Rhinolophus ferrumequinum: one gene and its partners. The protein of the gene in region 3 interacts with the protein of the main gene of each other region in a pairwise test. Links are inferred from orthologs where the notes say so. Each region holds a gene or a part of one and is shown on either strand. Other genes may lie near its edges.

What was found.
Region 1: the proteins of NUP62 (region 3) and KANSL1 interact in binary tests that used the Homo sapiens proteins (3 or more experiments, as listed by UniProt). The two-hybrid records come from large-scale screens. The link is inferred for Rhinolophus ferrumequinum from reciprocal best matches to the Homo sapiens genes NUP62 and KANSL1.
Region 2: the proteins of NUP62 (region 3) and KRT20 interact in binary tests that used the Homo sapiens proteins (3 or more experiments, as listed by UniProt). The two-hybrid records come from large-scale screens. The link is inferred for Rhinolophus ferrumequinum from reciprocal best matches to the Homo sapiens genes NUP62 and KRT20.
Region 4: the proteins of NUP62 (region 3) and C9H1orf216 interact in binary tests that used the Homo sapiens proteins (3 or more experiments, as listed by UniProt). The two-hybrid records come from large-scale screens. The link is inferred for Rhinolophus ferrumequinum from reciprocal best matches to the Homo sapiens genes NUP62 and C1orf216.

Annotation. Positions count from the first base shown.
Region 1 is NC_046304.1:41,155,625-41,163,750, forward strand, and holds the start of KANSL1 (KAT8 regulatory NSL complex subunit 1), read right to left. Parts: upstream 3,396-8,126; 5' UTR 3,231-3,395; intron 2,598-3,230; exon of another isoform or gene 2,463-2,597; 5' UTR 2,324-2,462; intron 1-2,323. UniProt on the Homo sapiens protein: Non-catalytic component of the NSL histone acetyltransferase complex, a multiprotein complex that mediates histone H4 acetylation at 'Lys-5'- and 'Lys-8' (H4K5ac and H4K8ac) at transcription start sites and promotes transcription initiation.
Region 2 is NC_046304.1:37,139,997-37,148,266, reverse strand, and holds the start of KRT20 (keratin, type I cytoskeletal 20), read left to right. Parts: upstream 1-4,875; 5' UTR 4,876-5,003; coding exon 5,004-5,345; intron 5,346-7,249; coding exon 7,250-7,332; intron 7,333-8,270. UniProt on the Homo sapiens protein: Plays a significant role in maintaining keratin filament organization in intestinal epithelia. When phosphorylated, plays a role in the secretion of mucin in the small intestine.
Region 3 is NC_046298.1:44,951,172-44,958,870, reverse strand, and holds the start of NUP62 (nuclear pore glycoprotein p62), read left to right. Parts: upstream 1-4,412; 5' UTR 4,413-4,547; exon of another isoform or gene 4,548-4,609; intron 4,610-7,699. Other genes in the region: ATF5 (cyclic AMP-dependent transcription factor ATF-5), read right to left, coding at 1,402-2,063, 2,835-3,012. UniProt on the Homo sapiens protein: Essential component of the nuclear pore complex. The N-terminal is probably involved in nucleocytoplasmic transport.
Region 4 is NC_046292.1:24,782,089-24,789,355, forward strand, and holds C9H1orf216 (UPF0500 protein C1orf216 homolog), read right to left. Parts: upstream 2,763-7,267; 5' UTR 2,698-2,762; coding exon 2,607-2,697; intron 2,013-2,606; coding exon 1,321-2,012; 3' UTR 849-1,320; downstream 1-848.

The DNA of each region.
Region 1 (8,126 bases), on a different chromosome or scaffold from region 3:
TATGAAAAGGGTGAGTATTGGCACTGTTTTCTATAAGCATGGAAACAAGTACATATTCAGGCCTGACATTCATGTAATGCCTGACAGAACTGGAGTTCATTCTGAAATGAGATAATCAGAAACAAAGTGGAAGAACTACAAAAAATGAACACTTTGGCTCCAAAGTATACACTTTAATTAGGCTGTCATTTCTTTTTACTTAAAAATGAACAGCTGTAACCTGAAAATACATCTCAGAAACATTTTAAGGATATTTACAACTGAAAAAGAGAATAAAGTTCTCTTTCTCCCTTTTTATTTCCCATCCTGCAAATTCAATGTTATCCTCTTCCCCGAAAAAAGTGCCTTTTCCCCGCCCTGTCCTAATCAAACACTATAAGTTTTTCTAAGTAGTAAAAGGAGGAGGAAAATGTTAGCAAATAAAAAATCTGCTCAGATTCAGAAGAGATCTTCCACTGATCAAAGAACTGGTAGGAAACATAAAATTAAGGCAGCCACATAACTACATTCTTAAGTAGTTAACAGGTGGTAGGTAACTCATATAGTAGGAAGCTCTGTACTCCTGCCATCCCAGAGGTCTTTGGTACAACTTCAGGGGTTATTGTGGAACTATAGTTGACCTTTGAACAATGAGTTTGAACTGTGCGGATTTTTTTCAATACAGTAAACGCATTTCTCTTCCTTAAGATTTTCTTAATAAATTTTCTTCTCTAGCTTACTTTATTCTAAGAATACAGTATAACATACTCTAAGAATACATGTATCATAACATGTGATAACCAACTGTTTATGTTATTGGTTGAGCTTCCGGTCAACAGTAAGCTATTAGAAGTTAAGTTTTGGGGGAGTCAAAAGTTATTCCTTATTTTTGACTGTGTGTGTGTGGGGGCGGGGGGTCGGCACCCCTGATCCCTGGGGTTGTTCAACAGTCAACCACATAACACCCCAAGTTCAGAGATTTACTGGTAAAATCTTAAACATCATATATATCTTAAGAAGGAGGCTCTATGTACCTAATACATTAGTTAAAACCAGGGTAATGGTAAAACAAAATTCAATATATGGATCCTAATTTCCTTGGGTTTCTGGGGACCTAGGGCCTGCTGATATCCCCTTGCCTGCTTCCTAAAGATAACAGAGGTCACCAGGTCCTGGCGCTAAACACTTGGTACCAAAGAGAAACACTCTTATATAAGGTTTTCCAATTCCTAAGTGTTCAGGACTTCTGGGTGGGTTCCCCATACAACCCCTCCAACTCTACACGGAGAATGGCTGGTAAACTATCACTTTGACTTCTTTTACACATAATGTAAGCAACAACAACAGCTGGAATATAAACTAAGAAGAGAACTCAGTCTACATTTACCTAAAGATTTCCAACAGTCCAAATATTTAGGTTACATTATTCTGATTTATTCGTTGCATTAAATTGGCATTCCACAGGGCAGATGACCACACAACGGTCTTAAATACACTAATATCTAGCTCCAAAGGAAGGCAACCTGAGCCACCTGGCGAAACTGGTGAGGGCTTCCATCACCCCTCATCTTTCTCTGTCCATCCTTCCTCTCATTTTCCTCCCTACAAATGTCTTAAGCTTTGCCCTTTACTTAGTACAAACGAAGTGTCCTTTGGCCATCTATGTACAAGAAATTGGAAGGAGTGAAGGGACTTGAGAACCACATTAATAAGAGCTTTTTCATCTAAAGATCATCAGCCCACATTGCCCAACAGAGGTTTATCCTGTGAAATGAAACTTGGCACAAAGCGCTACCTGTGCAGAAAAAGTGTTAATTCCTATGCAAATGACTAGGAAGCAGCAGGACTCTCCAGTGGAGTCGTACACGCAAACCAACAGGCCTCAGAAAATTCTACATGAAGTTTCAGAGTAAACAAATGGTTAATGACACATCACTTGTAATTCATGAATCAGCTACAGATTTGCAAGTGGGACACACCCTACTACCTATGACTACCTGTTGAAAATGGACCTGGATGGCTGAAGTGCCAATCCATCCTACTGAGATAGGATAATTTTACAGCTATGTGGGTTGTCATAATTTAAAGTTAGAAAATTAACACATCATTATAATGAAAGTTAACTTGAGAACTTCATTCATATTTTAACACCAACAATTAAGAACAGTAGCAATACAAAGTAAAGAGTAACCAACGAGTCCTAGGAAGCAACCATAAGAGTAGTTTTTGAGGGGAAAGGAGGGTCAGGTAATAGGTTGAAGAATTGCAAATTCGAGAATATTCTCAATTCTAAAGAAAAATAAAATGAGGCCTTTAATTGAAAAAAAAAAATAACACATCTTACCTTAGGAGGCATCCACATAGCATTCATAGTGTCAGGAATAGTTCAGACAATTCTCAGAAATGAGCAAGCAGGGAGTCTTAGTAATCCCTCAGTCACCAAGTATGAGCAGGTAGGAAATTTTTTTGTTTCAAGAAGGTATCTGAAAGAGAGGACTTTCATTTAGACTAAAAAATAATCAAGAATAAGCAAATAGTTTGAGTATCTGGACAGAGATTTGAAGTACTATTTGCTTCACCATCCTAAAAAGATGTACAAAACACAGTCCCCTTTAGAAAGAGGCAAATGTATGTATGTGTATATCCATATCATGTAGAAATATAGTTTACATAAAAAGTGAATTAACTGTGTAATACATGTTTTCTATAATATAAAATTGCTTATCAAATAGTTAGAAAACCAAAATCCCAGGTAGAAAAATGATTCTTCAGGGTACTTCATAAACACTACTGAAAAGTGATTTAACGGACCATCTAAAAAAGACCCTTGTCACATTTAATTTTATTTAATAAAAACCTCTCTGATCATTCTCACTGTCCTAAATTTTATTAAGTTTCAGGACCTATCTACATAAAAAATAAAATCCATTCTTGACTGAAGTGCTACAAGCAAATAAAAGAGCCTTCTTCTCTAGAGATCGTTAAAAGCAGACCAAACAACTTAATTTTGAGGAAGGAGAGAGGCAAGTTTGCCTGGAGGCAGGAGGATGGATTAAATGACCTCTCCTAGGAACCTTGTTCAAGTCCTAGGCCTGAATGAAAATTCCAGCTTAACCAGTTACTGCTTCGCTTAAAATGGAGGCTTGCCCGAGTAGGGACAAGAATAACAGCACCCACCTCTGTAAAATAAATTTCAAAAAATCAAAAATTACAATACCCTCATTTTGGAAAAAAAAATTTTAAATAAAAACCTCTGGAGTAGATTTGTTCCTGCTATGCGTTTGTCACTTGGGCTTCGAAGACTTGGCATCACTTTCCTTACCGCTCATCGGATTTTTTTTGGGGGGGGACGGGGGAGTTTGACTCTTGACCCAAGTCTCAGGAGGATTTAATAGACCCTCCATGATCCCCACCGCAAAAGACATGGGAAGAAGAGAAAGGGGAGAGAGCCCGAGTTCTCACCCCTCCCCCCACCTTGGACCCTAGTCCCAAACCTACACCCCCCGCCAGCTTCCCGCAGTGGGGCGACTCCTTCTGTCCCATCCCCATTGTCAGGGAGGGGGCGAATGGGGAAGTGGGCTCCGGGCAGGGGAGCCTGCGGCCGTTGCCCCGGCTCGCTTCAGGAGGGGCGGCCCGCGGGATGCAGCTTCCCTTCCTCTCCGCGTCGGTCCGTCCCACCTCGGCTCGGCCTGGCGCCCCGGGCTCTGCTCGGCGCCCCCGGCCCCAGGCCCAGCCCCGGTCCGCCCCCGGGCACCAGGCCCCCAGCCCCTCGGCCGGCAGCCCGCGGCCCAGGCCTGCGAGTGGGCGCGGGGCGGGGGTCCCTGTGCCTCACACACGCGTCCCCGCTCCCCCAAGTCCAGCCGCTTCCAGGGCCCTCGGCGGCGCCCGCTCCCCGGGCCCGCCGGCCCCCCGCCTCCCGCCTGGGCCACCCCCTCAAACTCCCGCGGATAGGACCACATCCCCTTTCCCACCATCACCCCTAACGACTCGTGCCCCCTACCCCCGCGGCACCAGTGCCAACGGCTGCTCCCCCGGCCCCGGACCTACCTGCACGGCTCAACCAAGCCTAGAAGTGGAGGCGGGGAATCTTCTGCCCTCCTCTGTCTCTCATTGGTCCTTCCGGGGCACATCGTGAGCGCCATTGGCTAATGGCGGGTGTCCGTCAGAGCGGTGGGGCGGGACAGGAGGGGAGAGGGATGCTGGTGCCTCGGCGTCTCTGTCTCTGTATCTCGCTGTCTCTGTCTTGGCTCTTGGAAATGAGAGACATTTGGACAAGGCGACTGGAAGGGGGCCCGCGGTGGGAAAGATAGAAATAGGAATCCTGGCAGAGCTTCCCACCAGTCAGCCACTCCGAACCCCCTACCTAAGTCCCCTTTGGATCCTCTTCTCCATCACCCCCAACCCCGGCCCCTCACCCCTGTAGGTTCTTCATCCAGGAAGCGACGTGATGAAAACTCGAGGCCGGAAGGCCATAGGAGAGATTTTATATATGAATATAAAATATACACATACATATATGTATAAAGTCAACCAGATATAAGGTCACAAGAGCCTGGAGAGGAAAGGGCACACATCTCACAAACGGGAAGGACTTGAGATATAACCAATATAATAAGGAATCAAAATGACTCAAAGTGCTTTCCACCTGGGCTGATAACTGAGTGCCTAGGGGACCAGGTGGAAGCAAGACTTACATTTCATTGTACATCTTTTTGTATCTTTTGATTTTTGTGCCATTTACAAAGATTCCAGGGTTTTGTTTTGTTTTGTTTAAGTAATTTATTTAAATTTTAAAATAAATCTAAGGTCAGAAAACCAGGGGGACAGACAAGATGGTCATCCAGGCAAAGTGGGACAGCATGCAAATTTTGGGAGAAATCTTAGTTTTTAATATGTTCAGTTCCAAACAGTAGTGGTAAAACTAAGTGGAGGTGTCCCAGAGGCAACTGGAAATACGGAATTTGGGAGAGGGTGGACAATCTGGACTAGGGAAGGTTTGGAGTTCTCTACCTAAATATGTTGATTGATGATATGCTGAAGGATAAACTACCCATAGAAGTGTAAAAAGGCACCCACAGGATAATGAAAAGAACAGAAAGAGGGGCAGTGAGGTAAGAAAAACAGAATATTGAAGAGGCATGAAAGTTATGGGGGGAAGTGTCTCTGGAAAAATAGAATAATAAAACTATGACAGCCTCACCGGTCTTGAGATTCATTTCTGGGACTCTCTAAAGGCTCATTCAATAAGAATGAAAGTCAAAATATCCATAAAGCAGAGTTCTTAACTTTTTCACACCACGGACCCTTTGGCAGTCTGGTGAAACATATGGACCTCTTCTCAGAATACTTTTTATGTGTAATCAACATACAGAGGAATTTAAAGGAAAGCAATGACATTAAAATACAATTTTCAAAATATTTTGAAAGGTGTGATATAGTAATATCTGGGCTTTATATTAATGTATTAAATAATAAGATCTAATGGCAGACCTAATGACCACCATAATTTTCAGGTAGTAAATGAGCATAAATAATATTTCAAGATCGCTGTGACAGCTGTCATATTATTAGGAAAATATTTGTGATTTCTACCGGTGACAAAATCACAGACACTGCTAATACGACTTGGTTTGTCGTCTCCATTCATAACTGAAGGAAATGCTAGTTTTCTGTTAACATTTTAGCAAAAATAAAGGCACATCACTTTCCCTGATCTAAATTCATGGATTTCTTAATCTGTGGACTGCAGGTTAAGAAACCCCACCATAAAGAAAGCATCCTTCCCACCCTTCACACACCCATGCCAGGCTTGTGGCCCTGTCCTTCACCCCTTATCTCCGTCTCTCTCTTTCCGTTTTCCACTTGCTCCAAACACTCTCTGGTTCCTAGTGCTACCTGCAGATTTCTGACGTCCCTGTGACACAAAGAACAAGGAATTGTGAGTAAAGATTGGAAGAACGATATATACATTTTGTCTTTCTTCAAAGAAAAAAGAGAAAGCTATGGGGTATATTGCAGATCTGAGATGGGGAAAAGAAACCCAGATGGCGTATCATTCATTCCCAAGAGGAAAAAGAAATTATAAAAAGAAAACATCTTTATTAGTTAAGAAAGAATCTTTTCTGAGTTTATTAATTTTGCTTAAATATGCCCTAGAAAACATCTTTAATCCAGCTCCTTATTTCATGTATCTGTAAAATGGAGCAAAATATAGTACCCACCTCCTAGGGTTATTGTAAGGATTAAATTAGTTAATATATATAATGGATTTAAAACAGTGCCTAATACAAGGTCAACAGTTTTTAACTATCATTATTATTATATTGACATCTTGTATTCCAGAGCATTCCATAAAAATTTCCGGTATGATTATTTGTACGGATGACATATACGATTGCACATTAAGAGTGATAAAGTGGTTAACCCAGAACATTTTTTCATTTAAATGCTTCAAAATTAGAATACTCCACTTCTTCCAGTTACATTTTCATTCCTCTAGGGGGGGTTGGAAGAACATCAGTGCCTTTTTAAAGAGACTAAACTTGGGGGGGGAACAATTTGCTACTCCTATTACAAAGGGCTAATTTCTATGATACTGTCTATAAAGACCTCTTACAAATCAATAAATAAATACCAGCCATCTTCATCCTTACCCTGCTGGTGGGAGTGTAAACTGGCACAGCCATTTTAGAAAAAGACTCTGATAAAATCTAATAAAATTGAAGCTATGTATACTGTGTCCCAGCAGTCACAGTATTATATGTATTATAAAGAAATGCAGAATTGTAAATGTCAGGATCACTGTACAAGAATATTCATAGCAGCTTTGTTCCTCAGCACCCCACACTGGAAACCTCCCAAATGTTTATCAAGCATAAAATGGTTAAATTGTGGTATATTCAGACAACGAAAATTAATAAACTATGGTTATGTTCAACAATATGAATAAATATTCACAAAGGTAATATTAAACACACACAAAAAAGCAAGATACAAAAAAATATACAAAGTATGATTCCATTTATATAAAGTTTAAAAGCAGGCAAAACTGAACTATATTGCATAGGGATGCATAGATAGGTGGTATAATTATAAAGAAAAGGAAGGAAATGAACACAATAATGAAAGTCAGGCTGGCTAACGGGGGCAGAGGGAGTGTTGTTTGATTGAGTGTGGAGGGTGGAGGTTTTTCTTAGGAACAGGCAGTTCCAGAGTTCCTAAGGCAATCCAGAATTCCTTTTCCTTTCAGTGTTCTACTTTTTGATCAGGTGATGGGTACACAGGTATTTGCTCTATAACTGTTTAGCAAAACATACAAAAACTTTTGTATATTTTTCTGTATGGATACTTCACAATGAAAATATTATTTTTTAGAAAAATAGCATCTCTCTGGAAAAATGGACAAAAGATACTACAGAAATTTTACGAGAAAGAACATAGGAATGGCTGGTAAATGAATGAAAAGATGCTCAACTCACTAAAAGACAAGCATTTAAATCTCCACTGAGATACTGTTTTCATCTAACAGGTCATGACGATAACGTTTGCTAACACATTGTGTTGGCAATGGAGAGGGGAAATAGCCTTTTTTTGGGGGGGATATATTAGTTGTTCCAATATCTACAGAGGGCAACTAGGCAATAGCCATCAAAATTATAACTGCAAATACCCTTTTATTTCAGCAATTCCATCTCTAGAAATGTATTCATTCATTCCCTAAATATTTATTGAGCAACAACAATGTGGCAGGCACTACTTTATGCTCTAGAATTTATCTTACTGATATATTCTCTAAAAAGTCTGGAAATATGGCGCTGTTTATTTCGTTATTATCGTAGAGTTGCTCATGAGGAAGAAGCCTTGAATCTCAACCAGGGAATATAGTTAAGATTATATCAGAACACGTTAAATAAAATGAAAAAAGTATAATAAATATTTTCCCTACTTCCAAAGTTTGAGATAGTCTATATATACATGGTTTGTTTGTTTTTTCAACAAACATTGTTTCTAATAGCAAAAGATGAAGAAAATGAAACAAATACACTTCATTAGCAGACTGGTTAAGTAAATTATGATTTGGCTCCTGTACATGAAGCACCAGGGTTGGCTTCATGGGCATATGACCTGTGCGGTCACACAGGGCCCCA
Region 2 (8,270 bases), on a different chromosome or scaffold from region 3:
CTGAAAATTTTCACTTATCTCATTGAATGTTTTCTTTTCCCCATTGTCCCTTGTCTCCTTCTGACACTCTGATTAGAAATATTTCAACCTCCTTACCCTAACCTTCGTGTGTCTTGAGTCCTGTTTGGCACTTAGCTGCGTTCTGGATAATGTCTTCAGAGCTATCTTTTTATTCAATAATTCTCTCTTTAGCCTAGCTTAATCCATTGTTGGACCCATCCACTGAGCTGTTAATTTGAATTGTATTATTCGTTTCTTCTGGTTTATTTTCTAATTTTCTACGTAAGTTTTATAATGTCTTAGTACTTGCTCCAGTTTGCAAGTTTATCTTTTAGTTACTAAACTACTTTAGTATGTGTATATTATATTCTCCTTCCTATAATTGCACAGCTAACCTCTTTGTGGGTCCAATTCCACTGTTTATTGTCGTGCTCACAATTCCATACAATTTGATCGGTAGAGTTCGTTGAAGTTACATTATTTTAGAGAGGATTTGAGCTTCCTGCTGCCAGATGGCTAAGCACATCACTGATCAGGGACCACTTTAAATTAAATTCTCCACTTAAGGTTTTCAAATGACACACAGACATGGGTAATACAGACAACAAACTGTCAGGCTAGCTGTGGCTACAAATTCAGGATCTTAAAATGTTTTATTACAGAAAATTTCAAACAAATACTAGACTACTTAGAAGAGTATAATAAATCCCCACGTACCCATTTCTCAGTTTCAACAAATAACTCGTGGCCAAACTTCCTTCATCTATACTTCCATCCTCCTTCTCCCTCCCATATTATTTCGAAGCCAATCAAAGACATCATAACAGGTCACTTGCAACTATTTCACTACGTACACTAGTTTTTAAAGCATAGAGGCCCTGATTTTTTCTGATTTAACTTTGTGTTAGGTCAGGTAACTAGAACCACAATGCCTACAAACACCCACAGTTCCTACAGGGAAGACAACCTCTCCCCCCACAAGAGATTACAGATCCTAATACGTATCACGTCTGGGCTGCAATGGCTCATCCATCCAATGAGGAAAAAAAAAGGTTGAAAGTCCTCTGAGAACTACAGCATTTATGATAACTCTCTAAAACACTGGCCATACTTAACATTAATCATTAACGCCCTCAGCGGAGTCTCAGAGGTAAAAATCCACCTTCTATTAGTTATAAGGAAGTTGGGATCTAATAAATATTTATTTACGGATGCATCCATCCAACAGCCTGGAATATCAAGGGTTGTAAAGTCATGATTTATGTATGAACAAGAGTCAACAGGATCTATATCTAGTCATCAGGTATAGTTCAGAGAAATTACCTTCTGTGAAATACTACCCTCATTTCCTGTTGGTCATATTATAAGATATACTGTTTTACCAAAGTATAAAACTCAATGTGATAGAGGAGCTGTCAAATTATCCTGTCCTTACATAAACATGTGGAAGTCTTCACAACAGGAACTTTTCTACTCCAACAAATGAGTAAGTTGGATGACTGAAACCCATAAAATAGTTTACATTTGAAATCTCAAAATCCTACAAGGACTAGCCAAAAATTGGTGGGATAACACAATGACAAAGTTATTTCTCCAAATTTTAAAAATGATTTTAATCATTCTAATGAAATTTTAACTGTTTCGCTTAAATGTAATTGGGTCCAGCCAGAAGGAAGAATGGTGCTAAAGACGAGAACTTCAAAAATTATCATGTTTAATTACTGCACTTATATTCCTTTCTAGTTATAAAGCTAACTCTTCATTTAAATAATGCTTCTACACACCTTGATCATATATGTTAGTGTATGAAACTCTTAGCTGAAACTAAATCACTATAAAACATAATTCAAACAGTACAATTTTCCAGTGACTTTAATCAAACAACCTTCTTGCCCATTAAGCAATAACAAAAAAAAACATGAATTTTACGAATATACATATAAAGAACACAATTCATGTGTTCATAAAAAGTTCTTCCCTACAGATTTTAGCTGTGACATCTATTTGCAAAGTAATTTACAGCTCTTTAATAAATAGTAAGATCTGCTTATGACATGTCCAGTCATTGATGGTGAACACTCAGTGAGTGTTGGCTGACACATACATGTTTGGATAAAAAGATAATATAGAGCTGTCCACACACACACTGTAAATTGCATGAAGTAGATTTAGTTCTCGCAATTTTTACTTTCAGAATATAACTGAAGCAAATTTTAATACAAAGCATTATTTTAAACCATACAGTTTATAAGGGAGAAATAATATAGTCTTACCTTATTTTGGAAGAAGGAAGTTTGCAAAAACAACAAATAAAAAACCTCAAAAGTGAAAAAGCCATTGGTTTTTAGTGGAAGAACCACAACAACAAAAATAGATCACTAAAACAAGTAAGTTCCAAATTCTTCAGAAAGAATGTGCAAGGATTTGGGATATGCTTTTGTTTAGGTTTTTTTTTTATTGATTTTTTTGTTGTTTGCTTACTTGCTTTCATCATATACAACTTCAATTCAATTAAAATATCAGGATGAGAATCAATGAAGTGTTTTCTGTGACTTTTCCAATCCCTTCAATTTAACTTAAGGAAACAATTTAAATGTTTCAGGGAAGGTGTGAATTTTTCGGCCAGGGGAGTTGAATGGGGGGAGCAAATAAATAAATTTCGTTCAGTTCAACAATGTGTTTCCGATCCCCACTGGTGAGAGCACACCCACAGCTCCCAATGTGTCTGGAGGCTGACATACCTGCAGTGGCTCCCAGCCCAACTCGGGAGTCTGGGGGTAGCCCTAAGGCACTGCACACACCTGCTTCCGACACATGGACTTGCTCGACTAGAGCTGTGAATATGAGGACCTGTGAGGAAGATCAGGCTTCTGAGGAAGCTTCTGCCAGTGAAATCCATTGGGGATTCCAGGAGGAAGCAGCTGTAGCTTCAGGATGGGTGGGGCAGGGTCTGTCTCATGGTGGGTGTTTAGGGGACCTTATCCAGGAAGAGAGACTTCTCCATGCACCAGGCCAGGTGCAAAGTTTATGCTATTTATTCTAAGTTTCTAGGGAACAAAACCCAAAGCCAAGCAGTGATTAAGAAATTTCAATAAATTATCTAGTCTTATAACATTAGAATTAGTGGGAGAAAAAAACTTCAAAATCATCTATCCACCACTTACCTAAAGTCACTTAATTCACTTTCTCAAAACTACATCTCCAAATGTATACATGTTTCGTTCTTGTTTTAAATATTCAAGGTGTATGTTTGTACAAAACATTTTAATAGTCATATAAAATGATTTCTAAACAAGGATAAGACTAGAAACAACAACAAAAAATACAACAGAGATTCTGAAGAGTGATTTATTTGTACATATCAACCACTATTCTTACGCAAATCAGAAGCACAACCATCATCTCACACCTGTTAGATTAGCTGTCATCAACAAGACATGAGATGACCAACGCTTGTGAAGATGTGAACACAGGAAACCCTGAGGCACTGCTGGTGGGAATGCAAACTGGTGCAACCACTATGGGAAACAGTGTGAAGGTGCCTCAGAAACTTAAAAATGGAACTACCATATGATCCAGCAATCCCACTTCTGGGTATTTATCCAAAAGAAATGAAATCACCATCTCAAAGAGATACTTGCACCCTCATGTTCATTGCAGCATTATTCACAATAGGCAAGATACAGAAATAATCTAAGTGTGTCCATCAACCGCCAACAGATGAATGGAGATAAAGATATTCTCAGGCATTATAGCTGAGAATATTATATATACAGAGGAAGCCCCAAAAAATGTATACACATTTTAAGAAAGGAAAACTGTAGTACAATTGTAATACTCAATATATACCGACAACAAAAGATGAACACAAGTCACATTTGACTTCTGCGATTACAAGAGGGGCTCAAAGTGGTTACCATCAGCGTCCAGACACTTCTGATTATGGCGAACTACTGCTTGAGCAACGTTGACTAAAGTGTCCACTTGTATACATTTTTTGGCACCCCCAGTTTTTATATATATATATATATATATATATATATATATATATATATATATATATATATATATATAAAATATACCACATATGTATAATGGAATATTATTCACCCATAAAAAAAGAAAGAAATCCTGCCATTTGCAACAACAGGGGTGGACCTAGAGGGCATTAAGCTAAGTGAAATAAGCCAAACAGAAAAAGACAAATACTGCATGGTATCCCTTATATGTAGAATCTCAAAAAGAAGAAGAAGAGAGGGGAGAGAGGGGGCGGAGGAGGAGGAAGAAGTCAAGCTCATGGAAACAAGGAGCAGAAAAGTCACTGCCAGGGCCTGGGAGTGGGTGATACAGGGAGAGGTTGGTAAGAGTACAAACTTTCAGTATGTCTGAGGATCTAATGTAAAAACATGATGACTATAGTTGATAACACTGTATTGTATAATTAAGATTTGCTAAGAGAATAGAACTTAAATGTTTTCACCAAAAAGAAAAAGAGATAAATTATAATAAAATTTTGTAACATTGTTCTCTATTGCCAGTGTGACTTACTATTATGTATCCACATCTGTCATGGAGATTGCAAATATTCTTCATGTGTATTAGGATGAAAAAAATCCGCCAAAACAGGTGCAAGGGCTAAGAGAATACCCTTTCTTGTTGCCTTTTGTTACCTCTGTTTATAAAAATAAATCTCCCCTGAGAAAAGCCTCTACGAAATGCCTCTAGTGGTAATTTCTGGAATGGAATTAAAGAGATTGCTGTACAAAGGCCAAGGAGGCGGGGGACCAAAGTGGACTGTGGTGTCAATCCTAAAGTGAGATGTCAGCAGAGGTGGGGTGTCTTGACTGTGAAGTCTATAAAAGCTCAGTTCCTCTATCACCGAGAGACAGACTCTGCTCCATCTGGGCTGAAGCTGCAGGAGCTCCCTCCTAGAATCCCCAAGGGATTTCACTCAAAGAAGTCTCAGAAGCCTGGGTCCCTCCTTGAAAAGCCCTACAGTCAGCATGAACGAGCATGTGTATAGGAAGAAAGTCTTACAGTACCAGAGGATGGCACCCAGCGTCTATGGGGGAGCTGGAGGCCACGGCACCCGCATCTCGGTCTCCAGTGACATGGTGAACTATGAGAATGACATCGCCAAAGGGAACCTGCTTTTTGGCAATGAGAAGATGGCCATGCAAAACCTGAATGATCGCCTAGCAAGCTACCTGGAGAAGGTGCGGTCCCTGGAGCAGGCCAATGTTACACTTGAAGGGCAGATCAAGAAGTGGTACGAAACCAACGCGCCCAGCATCAGTCGGGACTACAGCGCCTATTACAAACAAATCCAAGAGCTGCAAAATCAGGTGAGGGCTGAGGCCTGGGTTTTCTACTCCTCTGTCTAGCTTCGTGATGTACCAAGAGGGCATACACATTAGGTGGGTCTAAATGGATGCTGTAAAGCAAATTGGGCTGAAATGCTACATCTGTACAAATGGTATAGTCTATCATCTACTCTTAGTGCTGCAGCACCTGACTACATAGTAGGATGACTACAAATCATACTTTTGAAAGTTTTTAAATCTAATTATATAGAAAATATGAAGATTTTATCCTCCCGTCTTACAAACTGTTTTTCTGTCATAGTTTTACCAGATCAGGGCTAAGTGAACAGCAAACATTTTTTCTGAAAGGAGCTAAATTTTTTAAGTGATAATAAATCTTTCTTAGTTTTTCACCTAGTTCCCAACAACTTTTGGAACCCCAGGCAATTTTGAGTTTCCTCCTTTCATTTATGTAAAGGGTGTAAGACGAGTATTCGAATACTGTATCGTACATTCCAATGATGAAGTGAGTCAGGGTGGAAGTGGAGAAGGGTATGGGTCTTTATGTTACCTGGATTTTACAGTGTCCTGCGGAATCATCTGGTCGTCATCACCAAGCAGTGCAGAAACCACTTGTACAGTAATACGATGTTCTATTGCCCCCAGTTCAAATGTATTGCAATCGTATCAGAACCTGTTCCCACATCATCCAAGAAAGGTGCACTTCTCTGTTTTATCAATTGTGTGGAATGAAAGAAGACTTTGCTCCTAATTGAACATTTCAGATACAGCACAGACTATTTGCACTGCTTTAATATTCTTATCTGATCAAAATAAGTGTCGGCCCTTTCGTTTTCCTTTCTATTTTAACATGTGCTTTCCTTTAGAGAAAAGGCTACTTACTTACCAACAAGTCTCTTTTTTCCTGTGTTGTGTTAGACGTCTGGACGATTTGATTCAGACTCTACGGGGCGTTACTTTGGGGTTCCAGGAACTATGTGGATGTAGGAGGCAAAGGTGTTTAAATTGCCCTTTCTGCCAACAGGTCATTCTTCTCAGGCCCGCAAAAAACATACAAAATCAGCCAACCATTCTCCCCTAGCTGTCTCATGGTTCTTGTTTCTGAATCTACTTTGGATCATCCCAAATACACAGGCACAGCCATTTCTTCCCTTTAGCTGGGCAGACTCAGTATTTGAAGGAATGCAGCTTGCTCCAGGACTGGATCTGCTGAAAGAAACATGTCATTATAACATCTTCCACAAGCAGACTTCTGATCCATGTGCATCTTAAAGAATTCACCCACTAGGTCATGGCTTAAGCTCAGGGGCTTATCCTGATAGTCCCAGTGACTACCTCAATTCCCACCACAGATCGAGTGTCCATTCATCAGCCAATAGTTAGCAGACACTAACGAGGTGCTGGGACCACGCCGGGCACTGGGAAATAGGATGGTGAACATGATGTAACTTACGGGAAACAGGCATGGACGAAGGCAACATTTATCCCACACAGAGGGGGAAGTGCTAGCACGGACGGCCGTGTAGGATACTGAGAGCACCAGCAGTTCATCCCGCTGTTTTGAGGAAATCAGTGAAGGTCTGAAGGAATGATAAACTGAGCGGTGGAGGAAGAGTTCACCCAGTGAGAGAAGCTAAGAGGAACATTCTAGGCAGGAACAACATCAAAGGCAAGACACTCGATAAGGTTTGATGGTTCAAGGTGAATTAAATTCTCTTTTTGTGAAAAAAAGAGAAAGCGGACCAGACCCTGGGACTAGAGTTGCATTTTACAAGTCTTGATGTTAAATATCCATATCATTATTCTTCCTGTTTTCATGTGGCAATTATTGAAATAAAAACATCGTCTTTGATTGAATAGTAGTTGTACCTGAGGATCAACTCCTATCCAGTTGAAAATGTCATTCTTTCTCATGTGTTTTCCAGATTAAAGAAGCTCAACGGGAAAGAGCTAAATGTATCCTGCTAATTGATAATGCTAAACTGGCTGCTGAAGACTTCAGACTAAAGTAGGTCCTCTAACGCCATGGCAAAACTTCCTGGGAAGGAATATCTTTTAGTAGTCCTTCATGACATTCAGCTTTCTGTATCACTGTTGGTAAAGGAGCTACCACTAAATATTTCCAGAATCCTAGAAACTATCTGGTCTAGCCCAGCACTCACAGCTGGACTTCTCTCTCCCACAGTCTTAAGATTTGGTCACCCAGCGCATAACTAAACATCTCCAGTAACTACCACTGTTCTCATTGGTTAGCTCTAGTTGCTAGAACATTCTTTTTTAGTAACCTGGCACCTACCTTCTCACATACCAAGCCTAATGCTGCCCTCCAGAATAATAACAAAGCAATTTAAAACGCCCCTTCTTCCTAAGTGCCCTTCTGTTATCTAAAGAGACTCATTTGTCTACCTCAGTGATTCTGCATGTGAGTCACCCATGTTCCTTCAAGTGCAGACAGGTGTCTGACCAAAGTTCCAGGATGACTCTTAATGCTTTCTAGTTTGCCAGTGCTTTGCAATATAGTCTGACCAAGCAAAGAACTAGGACTATGATTAAAGCAGTTCAAATCGTGTTCACTCGCGTAGTCATATCACACTACACAGGATCAGAGTTGTTCCTCAGAAACCGCTTCTACACTTAGGTTTCTTCACCTGAACTTGTACAATACCTCTGCACTAACAAGTCCTTTGTGGTTTAAAAGGGTGGCATATGAATGCTACAGGGATCAAAAAGAAGGAAACGAGAAAGCAGATCTGAAGATTAAAGCAGTAGAAGTTCATTAATTCCAGTCAATATCTGGGTGTCCCACTGCATTATCATTTTTTTAAAGTTTGCTACTTTAATAAAAATGGGAGTATATAAAAGTGTAGAGGAGAATACATGAATTTTTAAGATAATTCACTTTGGATGCATCTGTTGACAAAGCAATAAAAATAAATTGATCGTGAA
Region 3 (7,699 bases):
AACTGTTTTTAACTAGATAGAGGTGGTGGCTGCACAACACTACGAAAGTACTAATGTCAGTGAGTTGCTCACTTTAAAAATGGTTCTTCATCCAAAACCTAACAGTACCTTCCTTTTGCATTAACTGAAATAATGTCAACTGCTTAAAATACTGTCTGGCATCAGTTGGTTAGATCGTGGTGCTAATAACACCAAGGTTGCCAGTTCGATCCCCACACGTGCCACTGAGTTGTGCCCTCCTTAAAAAAAAAAAAAATAGTGCCTGCCACATAGTTGAGCCCTCAACAGATAGATGTAGGGGACCATCCCCACTATGGCTACCAGGCCATCTCCCACTTACCTCCCAAATACCCCTGGGAGGCTTTCATCAACAAGGGGCTCCTCCACATGGGGTACCCCACAACTCTTGTTGCAGCTGTCCAGCCCGTTTTGTTTGCGTGTCACCCGTTTTGGTGTGTGATGAGGGCCATGGGGCGCTGGCACCTTTAGCTATCCTTTGTTTTGCTATCTATGTAAGTAATTAAGGGTCTGAATCTAAAAGTGGGTCTTGCATCATTACCAGTTCAATCAGTCCCATCGTGACCTGGGCCGTGTACCAAGTGTTGTGTGCTTGACCATAAGTACTATCTGTTATTTCTATTGTCATTGTCTTTGGCTTACAACTGCCCTCTCCCAACTTCTTCTCTCAAAGACAAGACGCTCAGACCAGAAGTTATTTATTTTATTTCCACCACAACCCCCAAAAGGATCGCTCCCGCCCTCTCTCACCTAGATGCAGCCCCTGCCCCAACACCTTCACAAAACACTGATTTCCTCCCAGAGCTAAAGTGAACACCCACTCACCAACTATGGCCACACCCACTCTGCCCAGCTCCCCATCTGCCTCCAGAGCCACCAGCTCTTCAAACTTGCCTACCTTTTGGCTCCCTGCCCAAATGTAGTTTCCCAAGGTCAGCTCGCTTGCTTGTTCTGCTTATGTTATTATATGGGTGCCATTCTTAAAACCCTCTCTGACTTATTCCCTAGACGGCTCTCCTGTGCTCATTTACAGTCATTCTGCACAGCTTTCTGGCCTCACAGCCCCGTTCGAGAGCTGGTTTCCAAGCTCTCCCCTGCTCCCTGAACTCCCGGGGGCCTCAGTCTCTCAGCTGTCACTTGAAAAGTGTAGGTGTTGACTAAGGCCAAATGATCCATGATTCTGAGGAGAAGGGGAGCAACATGGACAAGAAATGGACAAGAAAGGAGACAAGGATAAAAGGAGAGAGAGAGAGAAGGGGGGGCTTTGGAAAGAAGCTAGAGGCAGAGGGATGATGGGGGGACCCTCCCATCTCAGCCCCAGAAACAGAAGTGAGCCAGAGCCGGAGACCAGTGCCCCCTACCGCCCGAAGCCCTGCCTGTCTCCTAGCTCTTGCGGGTCCTCTGGCTTCGAGCCTTGTACACTTCGATGAGCAGGTCCTTGACATATTGGATCTCCCGCTCCACAGACTCAGCCCTCTCCCTCAGCTCCCGGTTCCGTGCCTCCAGCCCCTGACACTCGCCCTCCAGGGCCTCACCCTCTGCCCGCTTCCTCTGTCTGTACCTCAAAGCAGCTGACTTGTTCTGGTCTCTCTTCTTTTGCTTGCGGTCCCCTCGAGTGATGGCAGGACTGGGGTAGGGGGCTGGGCGAGAGGTTTGAGGTAGAGGAGGGCGCTGCTGTGGTGGGGGCATGGGAGCCAAACCCGAATCCCCCTGCCCAGCCTCACTGCGGCAGTAGATGGCCAGCAAGTCTAGGGTGTCCAGGGCAGGGGGCTGGTGGAGGTCAAAGGTGGGGGGTAGGGGGACAGGGAGGGAGGGTGCCGCTTGTGGTGGTGGCTGTGGTGGTGGGGAGGATGGTGGGAGGAGTGGGGCATCAAGGAAGAAGTCTTCCATCTGCTCCAGCTCCTTCTTGAGGAGCGAGGCCATGGCTTCCAGGTCAGGGGAGGGTGGGGAAGGTGGGGGAAGGGCACCTGAGGGTAAGGGGGGCTCCAGAGGGAGAAGGGCTGTAAAGTCCACCCGTTCAGTCATCCAATCAGAGAAGCCATCACCTGGAGGATTGGAGGAAGACAACCAATGAACCAGTCAAACGTCTAACCAGTCAACTAACCAACCAACCAACTAACCAGTCAACCAACCAACAACCAGTGGACCAGCCAACCAATCAACTATCTGATTCAGTAACCAACCAATCAACCCTTTTCACCGACCAATCAATGAACTAGTCAACCAACCAATGACCAAAACAAAACAGTCAACCAACCATTTCTTCAACCATTCCAACATTCTCTTTACTGAGTAACCCACATCTGTGATTTGATTTACTTTCTAGTTTCTTCTTAAAACACAAACTCGATCACACATACACAATACACCCTGTTTCACCTTTAATTAATTATTGAAAACCCACTATATGACAAGCATTGGGGACACACTAAAGGAATAAAATAATCCGTCTCAGGGCTTCTGCATATGCTATTTTCTCCACCTAAACAGTTCTTCCCTTGGGTCTTTTCATAGCTCATTCCTTCCCATCCTTTAGGCTTCAGCCAAAACATTACCTACTTGGAGAGGGTTTCCTGGCTATGGACTTTAAACTAGGTCCACAATGTCATTTTGTAGCTAGAGTGTGAGCTCCAGGAGGGCAGGGATGTCAGTCTTGTTCCCAGCTATATCCCCGGCACCTAAAATAGTGCCTGGCATATTACAGGTGCTTAATAATTATTTATCAAATGAATGTATGAATGAATAAATTCTCCCTCCTTCTGTCTTGTGCCCCACACCACAGCTCCACACCACCTCCATTCTTCACCTGTCCTTACCTGCCAGGGGCTCTCCCCCCCCTGGAAGCCCGCCCTCCAGGGCTCCCCCAAGGACCTCATAGGGGCCCAGGGGGGCAGGGGCCAGGGGGAGTTTCCCATAGTCTAGGAGCCAGCTCAGCCCGCTAGCTGGGAGCAGGGCCCTGTCCAGCTCCAGCCCCAGGGTGGCCAGGAGTGACATGGCTGCAGCACAGGCGCTGGGAACCAATGGCAATGAAGGAAGCTGCACCAACAAGTGAAAGGAGGCTCTGGAGGTCGCTCAGTTGGCCGAAGACAGGCACCAAGGTGAAAGTGGAGGACCTACACGTGTGAGACAAAAGTGGGCAGGGTCATAGGCGAACCTCACTCACCGCCAAAGTCGCAGGGAAACCAAGTTCTACTCCCACATCCCGGGGGGCAGGGGGCGCTGAGGGGGGGGACCCCTCCCTTTCCCTTCCAACTGGGTTGGGACTATGCCTCGCCCTCAGAATTCTAAATCTGCCCTTTCCCCAAATCTGAGCCCCACCCACTCCCAAGGGGATTCTCTTTAGGCCCGACTTTATTTTCTTCAAAATTCCCGACCCAATCCTCCAATACAGAAACATAATGGTTTCCCAAGGGAATTATCTTAAGCCCTTCCCACCCACCCCATAATATTCCTTCAGTAAAAAAAACTCAGTCCCAGGGGAATTTTCTTCCAGCCACACTCCTTTCTCTAAAATACTTCCTTTAGGCCCCACCCCCTCCCTAGGTCCCATCTCAAATCAGTTCCCAGGGGAATTCGCCCTGCCCCACCCCTTCACCAATGTTATCTATTCAAATCCTGCAGGGACTACCGTTATTCCGCCCCCCAGCCCCGCCCCACTATCTTAGCTGCACCCCTCCCCCGCAGGCCCCTATTATTTCTCCAATCGAAACCCCACCCCTCATCTAACGGTTCGCTTAGCCCCGCCCCTTCGCATAATACTCTCCCTAGCCTTATCGTTCGTCAAGGCTGAGATCCTAGCTCCACCCCCTTGTCTTTACGCTCTGCCTTCTACCCAGTCAGTGTAAACTAGCACCCGCCCCAGCAGATGCCTGAATGAAAGGGAGAGACGCTATGCTGCGCGCCTAAGCGATGTGGAGCAGGCGACTAAGCAACGTGGACCAGGGAAGGTGGAGGTGGCCAGCAGAGAACAGCTCTCTACGCCAACCTTCCACACTTGGCTCTCTCGCCGAGGGCCAAATTTGGCGCAGCTCCACCACCAGAACGGTCCCATTGTTCTCACGTCTACGCGGGGGGGCGTCAGTGCGCATGTGCAGCCGCCTACTGCCAGCCCTTCGCACAATATGGGCTCTGGTGGGCTGACGCGCATGAGCAACAGCGCGAAGACAGACTCGTTCCGGAAGAAGGAAAAAAAAAACTCTCTGAGGGCTGGTGCGCAGGCGCAACCGTACGCAGGCCATCTATAAACGCCAACGCAAGAAAAAGACACCCTCCCCCACCATCGGGCCGAGTACGCATGCTCGGCCGCGCGCCCATGCTGGTTTTCCCTCTTCTGCGCCTGCGCGACCGTGATCCCTCACTTTCGTCTCCCCAACCTCCAAGCCTGGTGGTGAGGGCCGCGAGCTTCGAAACGGCGGGAAAGGCGGTTGGAGAGGGAGGGGTGAACGGTTACTCACTCCATGGCTGTGGAAAGGAGAGGCAGCGGCGGCCTCGGCTGAATAAAGAAGGCAGGAGCGAAGAGCGCAGGCGCGGTGAGCGCGGAGACGGGCGGGGGGCACGGAGGGTTCGCAGCTACAGAGCCATGGCCGGGGCTTCGCGGGCAAAGGCGGCTTCGCCGTAGTGTGAGGAGAGATCGTGATCTGAGGATGGGGAATGTGGTGGCCCCGGGGAGTGGGAACAGATATATCTCGGGCGGCGCAGCACGGGACCGCCCGGATCCTTCCGCGCCCCGCCTCCGCGCGGTCCAACCCGGAGGCGGGCCTGGCCCCCTCCTCTTGGGCATCCGGCCCCCTCCTCCTTTCGACCCCTGGGGTTTGGCCCTCCCTTCCCGGTGGCTCTACGGTTCATCCCCCTTCTGCTGGCTCTGGCCCTCCTGCTCTCTCGATCCTAGGCCTGATTTCCTCCTCCCTGAGACCCTCACTGGTGAATTTCTCATTTCCTTTCCCCTGCTTCATGAATTTCCGGCCGGCCACACGCTCATCTCTGCTTTCCCCAACTGCCTGCTCACGCTGAGAACGCTTTTTGTGGGTTAGAGTCCCGCGAGTCCCAGCCTAAGCTCCATTCTAATCACATACCTGCCATGCTGGTCTTGGGCAAATAACTTCTCTAGCCTCATAGATAGGGAACTATCTATAATATTAGAATAACCAACTCTACCTAATGGGGTTATTTGTGAGAATTAAGGAAGTCGATGCCTGTGAAGACCTAAGCACAAAGACCCGCTTATACGTGTCTGTTCAACCTATTTTATTATTAATAGGAACTCGGGGGCCCCAGTCTCACACCCCCACACACGCACTCCCCGCAAAAGCCTCAGACACTTGACCATCCAGTACCAGCTAACAGGTCGTTCTTTTGTCTCCGTTCCTCCAAGGTGTCAATTTCCAGCCATCCCCACCCTCCCCCATTCCAAGTAATGGCCGCTCAGCCCCATCCTGGTGTAGGGGTGCAGAGAATCTGGCATCATCGCCCCCACTCCATCCTTTTCTCCCTCCCCTGCCCACCTTCCCTCAATCCTTGGCCGCAGCATTCCTTTCAGGCCAGTTGTTTCATTCTTCTGGCCCTGCCCCTCTCCCTGACTTCCTGAGACGCCCCCCAGTGGATCAGTCTCCCAACCCTGCCAAGAATGGGGGGACTTCCACTTCCATTTACTAAAAGAGAGCGAGCTTCCTGGCCATCTCCTCCCTGTGCGCTGGGTCCTCTGCCAGCCCAAATGGGTGTGGGTCTTTTCTCTGCTGCAGAAACCTGTCTTTCCCACCCTGCATCCATCCACGTCAAGACATTACCCTGGAGTTCAACCTTCATCACTTCTGTGGCAGTTATGAGACTGAAGCAAGATCCAGAGAAGGTGGGGGAACCCTGATCTTGAGAGTTACGTGGGCAGTAAAGAGAAGCGGGCTTCTGCCTTCCCCCTGGTTGCATGCAGGAAGTCCTTGGCATCTGAGCGCTTTGCCTTAGGGCACTTACCGTCCTCTCTGCCAGTATTTGAGCACTTGCCCTATATTTCCTCGAGTCTGTAGAGGCTCCATTATTACCTAGGCAGCACAGAGTAGTGGTTAAGACATAGATTCTGGAGCCCCGTTATTTAGGTTCAAACCCTGACGCACCGCACTTACTAGCCTTGTGGTACTGGCAGTTTCCCTTAGAAAGAAGAGGCCATTAATGGTACCTGCTTTTTAGGGCTGTTATGAGGATTAAATGAGTTAATCCAGGTCAAGCGCTTAGACTAGTGCCTGGCACACACGAGGTGCTATACACATAAGGGGTGGTGATGGTGGTGGTTACTGAGGTGGGATATATTTTATCTCCACTGCTAAGCAGTTAGTGCTTTAAAACTGTGATTGGTCTTCCACCTTTTAAGTGGAACTTCAGGACCGATCTCTTCCTACTTGTCAGTATAGAGATTTGAGCAAGACCAGGCAGGGTTAGGGTAGACGATTGGACAGACTGCTGGTAGTCGGATGGCACAGGCGCGCGCGTGCGCACACACACACACACAGTTTTTCTGAGAAGACCTTCTAGGTTATGTGTGGGAAGTAGGTAGAGTTGTTTTTTTTTAAATAAACTATTTGGGAATAATTCTAGGTTTACAGAAAAATTGCAAAAAAGATAGTGTACAGTTTCCATATACTCCTCACCTAATTTTTTCCATTGTTTTCATCTTACGTTACTGTGATACACTTGTCATAGCTGAAAAACCAACATCTCATCTGTACACGTCTATTAACTAAACTTCAACTTTATTCTGATTTCACTGGTTGTTCCCTATAGTCCTTTTTTGTTCCAGGATCCTGTCCAGGTTGCCATATGACATTTGTCATTGTGTCTCCTGATCTGCAGTCGTTTCTCTGACTTTCCTTGTCTTTTATGATCTTGACAGTTTTGAGGAGTGCTGGTCAGATATTCTATGGAATATCCCTCAGTTTGGTTTTGTCTCAGAGACTGGGACTATCGGTTTTTGAGGGGACGGTCAGGTAGGGTATTTTTTAATAACCAGAAAGGAGCTTGCTCAGTATGGGAGTCGTGCTGCGGCTGTGTGAGGTGTATGCCGACTGAGAAGGCCGTGGGGCAGGGATCCTGGTTCCCTGTCCCAGCCCCCGTACCGCCTTCTCTCTCTAGCTGTCCTATTCCACCCAGTTCAACTCTGATGCCAACTGCCCCACCCAAGCAGCTTGACTCAGACCTGCTGGGTGGGGGCCAGTTCTCCAGACTCAGCTCTCTAGCCCTTCCTGGCATATTCTAATTTATGGGCGGTGGGTCATCAGTGGCTGCCTGTGAGCCTGAGCCCTCGCTCATGCCCACCCCTGACCCGGACCTGTGGCCCCTCCAGGACTCAAACGCCTCAGCCTCCCCCACCTTCGCAGAGTAACCCAGCCTTTCCTTTCCAACTCGAGCTGGGGCTGGAAGCGTGGGTGGGGCTGCTAGGGACTCTTTTTCAGTGCGGAGAGACCACGCTTAGGGAGTGAGGTGGAAATTGCAGGCAGGTTGCATCACCCTGGCTCTTTGATGGGGAGGGGGGTGGGGGGATTCTCTTGGGACCCCTGTGCACCTGGCAACAGGCTCCTGTTTAGCGGAGTCCTGGATCTGGAAGCGGCCCCAACACAGCAAGGGAGGGTTGTGGAGGGAGAGGGAGAGTAGCCACCGGTGCAAGACACTGAGAATCTGAGACTCAATGCCAAGGAGT
Region 4 (7,267 bases), on a different chromosome or scaffold from region 3:
AGGAGTGAGGAGAGGGAGGAGAGGTGGCCTGGGAAATCCCAAGAGAATGGATCAGCCATAAGCTGCAGATAAATGACAGCAGGATGCCCTCTTTCCAGGAAGCAGTGCGACCCTGTGGAGAAAAAAGGCTATGGCAGGCCATGGGTAACATAGGGTATGGATGCATGCTCCACATGTGCACCTGAATATATACTTGCACACTCTTGCTCACAAGTCTACCTGCAAATACACATTCCTAATCTACACTTCCCATGCCTGCACCTACACACATGTATCCCTACCCATAGGCCTGCACACACAAGGGTTCCCTCACATACACCCACCACAAGCCTGCACACTCAAGCTCGCTCATAGGCACACACATCTTTTGCATATACAGTTGGCCCTTGAACAACACAGGGTTTAGTGCTGCTGACCCCTGACACAGTCAAAAATCCGTGTATAACTTTTGACTCCCCTCAAATTTAACTACTAAATAGCCTATTGACCGGAAGCCTTACTGATAACACAAAGTCGATTAACACACATTTTGTATGTTATATGCACCATATACTTACTATTTTCCTTACTGTGTTTCCCCAAAAATAAGACTTAACCAGACCATCAGCTCTAATGCGTCTTTTGAAGCAAAAATTAATATAAGACCCGGTATTATATTATATTAATTATATTATAATATTATATTATATTATTATATTATAAAGATCCGGTCTTATATTATAGTAAAATAAGATCAGGTCTTATATTGATTTTTGCTCCAAAAGATGCATTAGAGCTGATTGTCTGGCTAGGTCTTAGCATTTTCGGGGAAACACAGTACTATTAAGTAAGCTAGAGAAGAAAAAATGCTATTCAGAAAATCATAAGAGAAAATACACTTACAGAGCTATACATATTTATTGGAAAAAATCCACATATACTCATAAGCGGGACTATGCAGTTCAAACCTGTGTTATTCAAGGGTCAATTGTACATCCTCACTCATGCATACTTGTATACACACACTTCTGGGTGCCTGTCCACACTTGTCTATGCATATACAAGTTTACTCCCTCTTATATACATGCTACACATACACAGATGGACACACTCCTACATAGGCCTGCACATTAAGTTAGCTCGTGTGTACACACCGCACATGCAAGCTGGTGCCCAGGTGCGGATTCATACATGCCTGCACATATCCACTACATGTTAGCACATACTACTCACTTATCCTTAGCTGCACTCATACCAGCTAATAATTATGTACTTGCGCACAACCACATTCATGCCTGCAAGTATTTACAGATACCCCTTGCACCCCGTGGAGGAACGCTCTTAGCCCTGGTCCTGGGGTCTGGATGGTGCTGCCCTCTGTTGGAGACAGCGGATAAGCTCCTTCCGGTTATCTAGGATGGTATCGAAGCTCTCCTGCAGGCGGGCCTGCTGGTCAATCAACTGGTGCTGCAGACCTCGGATCCACTGGAGCAGAGCCAGGCGACGGTACATCACCAAGTGCATGTGGTGCTTCTCCTTCTCCTGCTCTTTGTAGCGTTCTTGAGCCTGCAGCTTCTGCATAGCCTGGGCCACCGAGGGCAGAAAGGGATCTGAAGGGCCAGGGCCTGGAGGGGTCCCACAGGCAGGCTCAGGGCTGCTGCTGGGGCTGTCAATGCTCAGGGAGCTGCTGGCATAGCCATTGTCCTCCAGAGGGGAGCTGACTGTGCCAGCACCACCCATCTTCTCAGGCTCAGCTCTGGGGATCTCTGCCCCTTCTGGTGGGCTTCGGACCTCCCCCTCAGGAAGTCCAGGGGCCTGGAAGGACTGGTTATCAGAGGGCAACGCGGATTTCTTCATCAGAATGGGCTCCACTTGGCCTGGCATCCCACTCCAATTCTCATTGGCATCCTTGGCACTTGCCATGAAGTTGGAGTTGCTATCTGGTTGGAACTCAGGCTGACATACTCCAGAAGGTGGGCCCCCCAGGAACTGGCCCCCCTCAGCCACCCCTGGCTGGAAGGCGAACATTTGGTCTGTAGAGGGGAAGCAGAAGAATGAGTCAGAGCAGGACAGGGTGGGATACCTGAGTCCAGGCAACCTAGCTGCTGGGACAAGGCAGCAAGCGGGAGCCTGGCTGCTCCTTCTCAGTTCCTTTCTCTGGTCTCTGCTAACATCTCCCTTCGTGGTTTTCCTCCTCCCTCTCTGACTGTTACTTCTCGGTCTCCTGCAGAGGGTTTTCCCTCAGCCCTCGAGGCATGTTGTCTTCTCATTCTATGTACTTCTCCCCCAGGTGACCTCATCCTCTGCTGTAGCTTCAACAACCATCATGTGCTGTTGACTCTCAGATCTGTCTCCAGCCCAGATCCAACTGATACCCAACTCTGTAACCAACCACTCCTCAAATTCTACACGTCCAAACCAGCTCACCATCTTCAGTGTCCTTAGCAAAATGACCTCACTGTGCATTCAGTCACTCCAACCAGAAACTTAAAAGCATCCTGGACTCACTCTGCTTTCTTCTGCCATCTCATTGGCCACCAAACACTGACAATTCTTCCTCTTAAAAACCTCTGTGTTTATGTACATACATCTCCCCTCACTTTCACTTGGTTCAGGCCATTTCTTACCTGGATTACTGAATGCCACAGCCTTTTCACTGATCTTTCTGCCTGCAGTTAAAAATGAAAATTTGAGGGGCCAGCCCGGTGGCTGAGGCATTTGGAGCTCCGTGCTCCTAACGCCGAAGGCTGCTGGTTCGATTCCCACATGGGCCAGTGGGCTCTCAACCACAAGGTTGCCAGTTTGATTCCTCGACTCCCACAAGGGATGGTGTGCTCCGCCCCCTGCAACTAAGATTGAACACAGCACCTTGAGCTGAGCTGCCGCTGAGCTCCAGGATGGTTCAGTCGGTTGGAGCGCGTCCTCTCAACCACAAGGTTGCTGGTTGGACTCCCGCAAAGAATGGTGGGCTGCGCCCCCTGCAGCTAATAACAACCTGCAAGGGATGGTGGGCTGTGCCCCCTGAAGCTAACAATGGCAACTGGACCTGGAGCTGAGCTGCGCCCTCCACAACTAAGATTGAAAGGACAACAACTTGACTTGGAAAAAGACCTGGAAGTACACACTGTTCCCCAATAAAGTCCTGTTCCCCTTCCCCAATAAAATCTTTAAAAAAAAAAAAAAAAGAAAGAAAGAAAGAAAGAAAAAAAGCTTTATTACAAAAAAATGAAAATTTGATTGGTCACAGCTCCCACTGCCTTCCCTAAACTTCTGCTAAATCTCTCCACGGCCTGCCTGGCTGTTCTTCATCCGGCCCCTGCTCACCCTTCCAGACTTGCCTCTAGATGCTCTGCCCCTCCCACCGCACAAATTGCTCAGAGGTCTCAGAATGCACCGTCATTCTCCTCACATGGGTCCTTTAGCCTGCCATACCTTTCCTCTCCCCAGCTCTCTAAGATCCTCCCTTCTCCACCCAGCAAATTCCTTTTTGTACTTCAAAACTCAGCTCTCATATCCCCCGTCTCTGAAGCCATCCTGAAATTCTCCTCACTGCCCCAATATACATAAACACTGCCTCCCTTTGGGTCCCCACAGCCTTGGGTACACGCTGTCTTATTCATGTTTTTTTCTCGTCCCTGGCACATAGTTATGGTCAGTAAATGTCTATTCATTTTTTTTTTAAGTCTCTTGTAAAAGCAGTTCATAAACCTGGCTGCCTGACTAGACGTGGAACTCCTCTATTTCCCACCGTATTTCTAGGAGACAGCATGGAACTTGGCATTAAGCTAGTGTCAGTCCACACTTGCTGGGTGAGTAAATGGGGGTGAGAGAGCGGGATATCTATACTCATGGATGGGGGCCAACAGTAGGAGCAGGCCGCTACTGCTGATTGCCCAGGGCTAGAAGAGCTAGGTTCAGTTCCCTCTTCTGCCCAAGGAGGACGCCCACTCACCCACCCACACACGCACAGACAAGCCTCTCTTGGACCTTGTCCCCTTCCCTCCATGCCTACCATCTTGTGTCCCTCCAGCTTGCTCCATCCTGAGGCCCTGGAGGGAGGGCATACTATGCTCTTCTTTCCTCCCCAACAACCAGCTTTACCAAAATTAGTATTTGAATTGACACGAGGTTTCTGCTGACCATCTACTACTAGGATTAGAAAAATGTGGGATCAGTAAGAGTGAGAGGATAGTGGAAGTGGCAGGGACCCTTCCCACATCCAGTAGTGGGCAGAAGTCCTGGGGGAATGATGTAGGGACCGTCCCTTCATAACCTACCAACACCCTCCTTGCTAAACAAGGTGCCAGTAGATCTTCTCCGCCCAAATGTTTTCTTTTTCCTAAACTTGGGCGGGGCCACGAAGGAGGCTGGGATGCAGTGAGGGTGGTGCTACGAATAGCGGGGTTCTCAGAGAGGGTAAAATGGAAACCCAGACACCCGGGGTCAGGCTTCTCTCCGAGCTAATCCGCAGTCTGCCGGGGTTGAGGGGTGGGTGGGTATGGGGAAGGGTGATTCTGTAAAAACAGGGGGAAGCGGCCTCCCTTCCTGCCTAGCCTAGTGGAAGAGGAAGACTACCCCCGCAGACAAAAGATAGAGACCATCCTTTCCTAATCTCTCCGTTCGGGGCAGCTGGGCCGAGGCTGCGGTTTCCCTCCTCGTCCCCGAACCTCAGTGTCTGGACTCACCGCCTGGAGGCGTCTGCCCAGCGCGGCTGGCTCTGGTTCCGCGGGACCCGCGACGGGAACTCGTCCCTCGGGGCTGAGGGGTCCCTCGGCCTGGGCGTCACGCGGGACCCGGGCGTGGGGTGCGGGGTTCCGGAGCGGTGCACCCAGCCCCAGTTGCGGACTGCGGAGCCAGCCGGGCGGCGTCAGCGCTCTGGGCGGGGCCGCCCGGCCCACGTGGGCCGGTTCGGTTTCCCGCGGAGCCGCGCGCGGAGGCCGGAGCGCGGGAGCCGCCTCCCCTCCTTCGCCTTCCGCAGCCTTGACCGAGGCCTTGCAGGTACAGTTTTATTTCCTAACTGCCTTCACTGGGCCTCTCCGATCGGCTTGCCTCACTGTGGATACACTGACATTTTCAAAATGAAAATCTGATCATGTCACCACCCTCCTGCCAAAAACCTGTTGCAAGGCAGATCCTTAAGGCAGCAGCCCCAGAGGTCTGATCATCCTGCCCCGTCTGCCTCTCCGGCTTCAGCCTTTGCGCTCCATCTCTGCAACCCGGCTTGACGCTTCTTTCTGCCTGCCAGGCGGCTTTTACAAACACTGTTCCCTCTGCCTAACATTCTCTCCCCGCTCTCATATTTCAGATCTCTTCTCAGATCAACCTTCTCTGACCCCCTTTTATATTATCCCTGGGCATTTTGTTCCTTTTCTTCATAGTCTCTGTCACAATTGGAAATTCTGTATTCATGTTATGCTTAGTTATTAAAGCCACTTATGAAAGCTACGTTTTTAAGAGAGGAAAGAAAATCTACTCTGGGTCAGGCATGGGGCTACTGTCTTGCACCCAGGCCCTGGTGGCTTCCCACAGGGCGATGAGTGCCTCTCTGGTGCCAGTGCAGTGAGCTTTTCTCAGTTTCCACTTACTGAAGCCTGATCCCCTCACTTTCTTCCTCCTTGGGGGAACTGAGGGTTTGGGGGCCCAGTTTGCAAGCAAAGCAAACAGTAATTGCTGACTTTAATGATCAACACCAAAAAGCAATGGCTGGTGTTTGGGAACCTAAGACTTCTTAAATTAAGTTCTTAACTTAGGCAACCTCAGAAAGAAGACTGGGACAAATTTAGCTTTCAAGGCACGGTGAGCTTCCAGAAGGTCCCTTCCACATCCCCATTTTACTGAGCAAACTACACAATTGGCTACACCTTCCTCACCTACCCCATTTCAAAATTAAACTAAACTAATATGGAGTCATCTTTGAACCATAATACATTTAAAATACCTTGTCTTTCCCTCATCCCTCTCTTTTGCTGCTTTTTTGTTTTGTTTTTGTTTGTTTGTTTCAATGAGGAAGAATTCAACTCTGTGATCTCCATGATAGGGCATCCTCTTCCAGTTTCAACTTGATTCCAACTCACCATTCTGCAACTTAGAGACTAAATGGCACATTAAATCACACCAATAAATCCTATGTACAAAAATAAGGAGAGTGGAAGAAGAAAAAAACTTTTTGTTTTATGATTATGACAACTCTTATTTTAAGAGAGAAAAGGAAATAAAAAAGGGAGAAAGCAAAAGTATCTCAAACTTTGGACACTCCCCCAGCTACAAATATACAGGTGGAGCCCTCAGCCCTATTTCTACATCAGGTTCCAAGACCTAACTAGTCTTCCCTTTTCCTTTAACCACTGCAAGTTCCCCTTGCCTTCAGCCGGAGTTTGCTTCCTTCTGAGGTGATCCAAACCCTCAATCCTAAAGGCTCTGAGCTTCAGTGGTCTGGAGTTATGCAAATCTTCCCATGCCACACAGCCATAATGTCATCTGATTGTTTGGTGGGCCCAGAACAGCTCCACCCCACCTCTCCTTTGGCTCTGTCTCTCCCAGCTCTAACCACGTGGGTTAAATGGGAGCCTGGTGAGTCCAGGGATAGAACTCCCCACTCCGGGTGAGTCAGTCAGAGCCCTTCTCTGGGACTTTCTGAAATAAAATTAAAGGAAGACAAAGCAGGGAAGATGTAAGCTGTAACATTCACATTCTCTGGCACATAGAAGTCAGTTTTTAGTAGGAGAAAATGATGTTGACACATAGAAGTAGAGACGAAAGACAGAAGTCCTCATGAGGTTCCAGTCCCTGTTTCCTGAGGCCTTTGTATACCTTCCAATAAGGCCCTCATTTTACCAATCCTAACTTGAGTGGAATTTCTTTCACTAGCAATCTAAAGAATGCTGATTAATAGAACACCCTTGGGTCTCACTCATGCATGAACCTCTCAGCCCTCATTAAGTAGTAGCAACTCTATTTCCCCTTGATAGCCTTTATCAGATCAGCCTACACTGTAACCTCCTTTCTTCTGTTCCTCTGATATTATGAGGAGCTTGCAATGCTGTGGAATCATCTTTGTGTTCCCTGGTTAGAAACATTCCTCCCTAGCTGCTAAAACCTCCTGGCCGGCAGAACCAGGATATCAGAGGCAGGAAGTAAACTCTTGGAGAAAGTCATTAGGTACAATCATGGAAGGTATCACACCCATCTCTACCTCTTTATATGTGTTCTGGCTACAAAAGACCAACAATTGTATACTGATTGTTGATTTAATACCTATATTGTACTCGGCATAGCAGAACCCAACCTG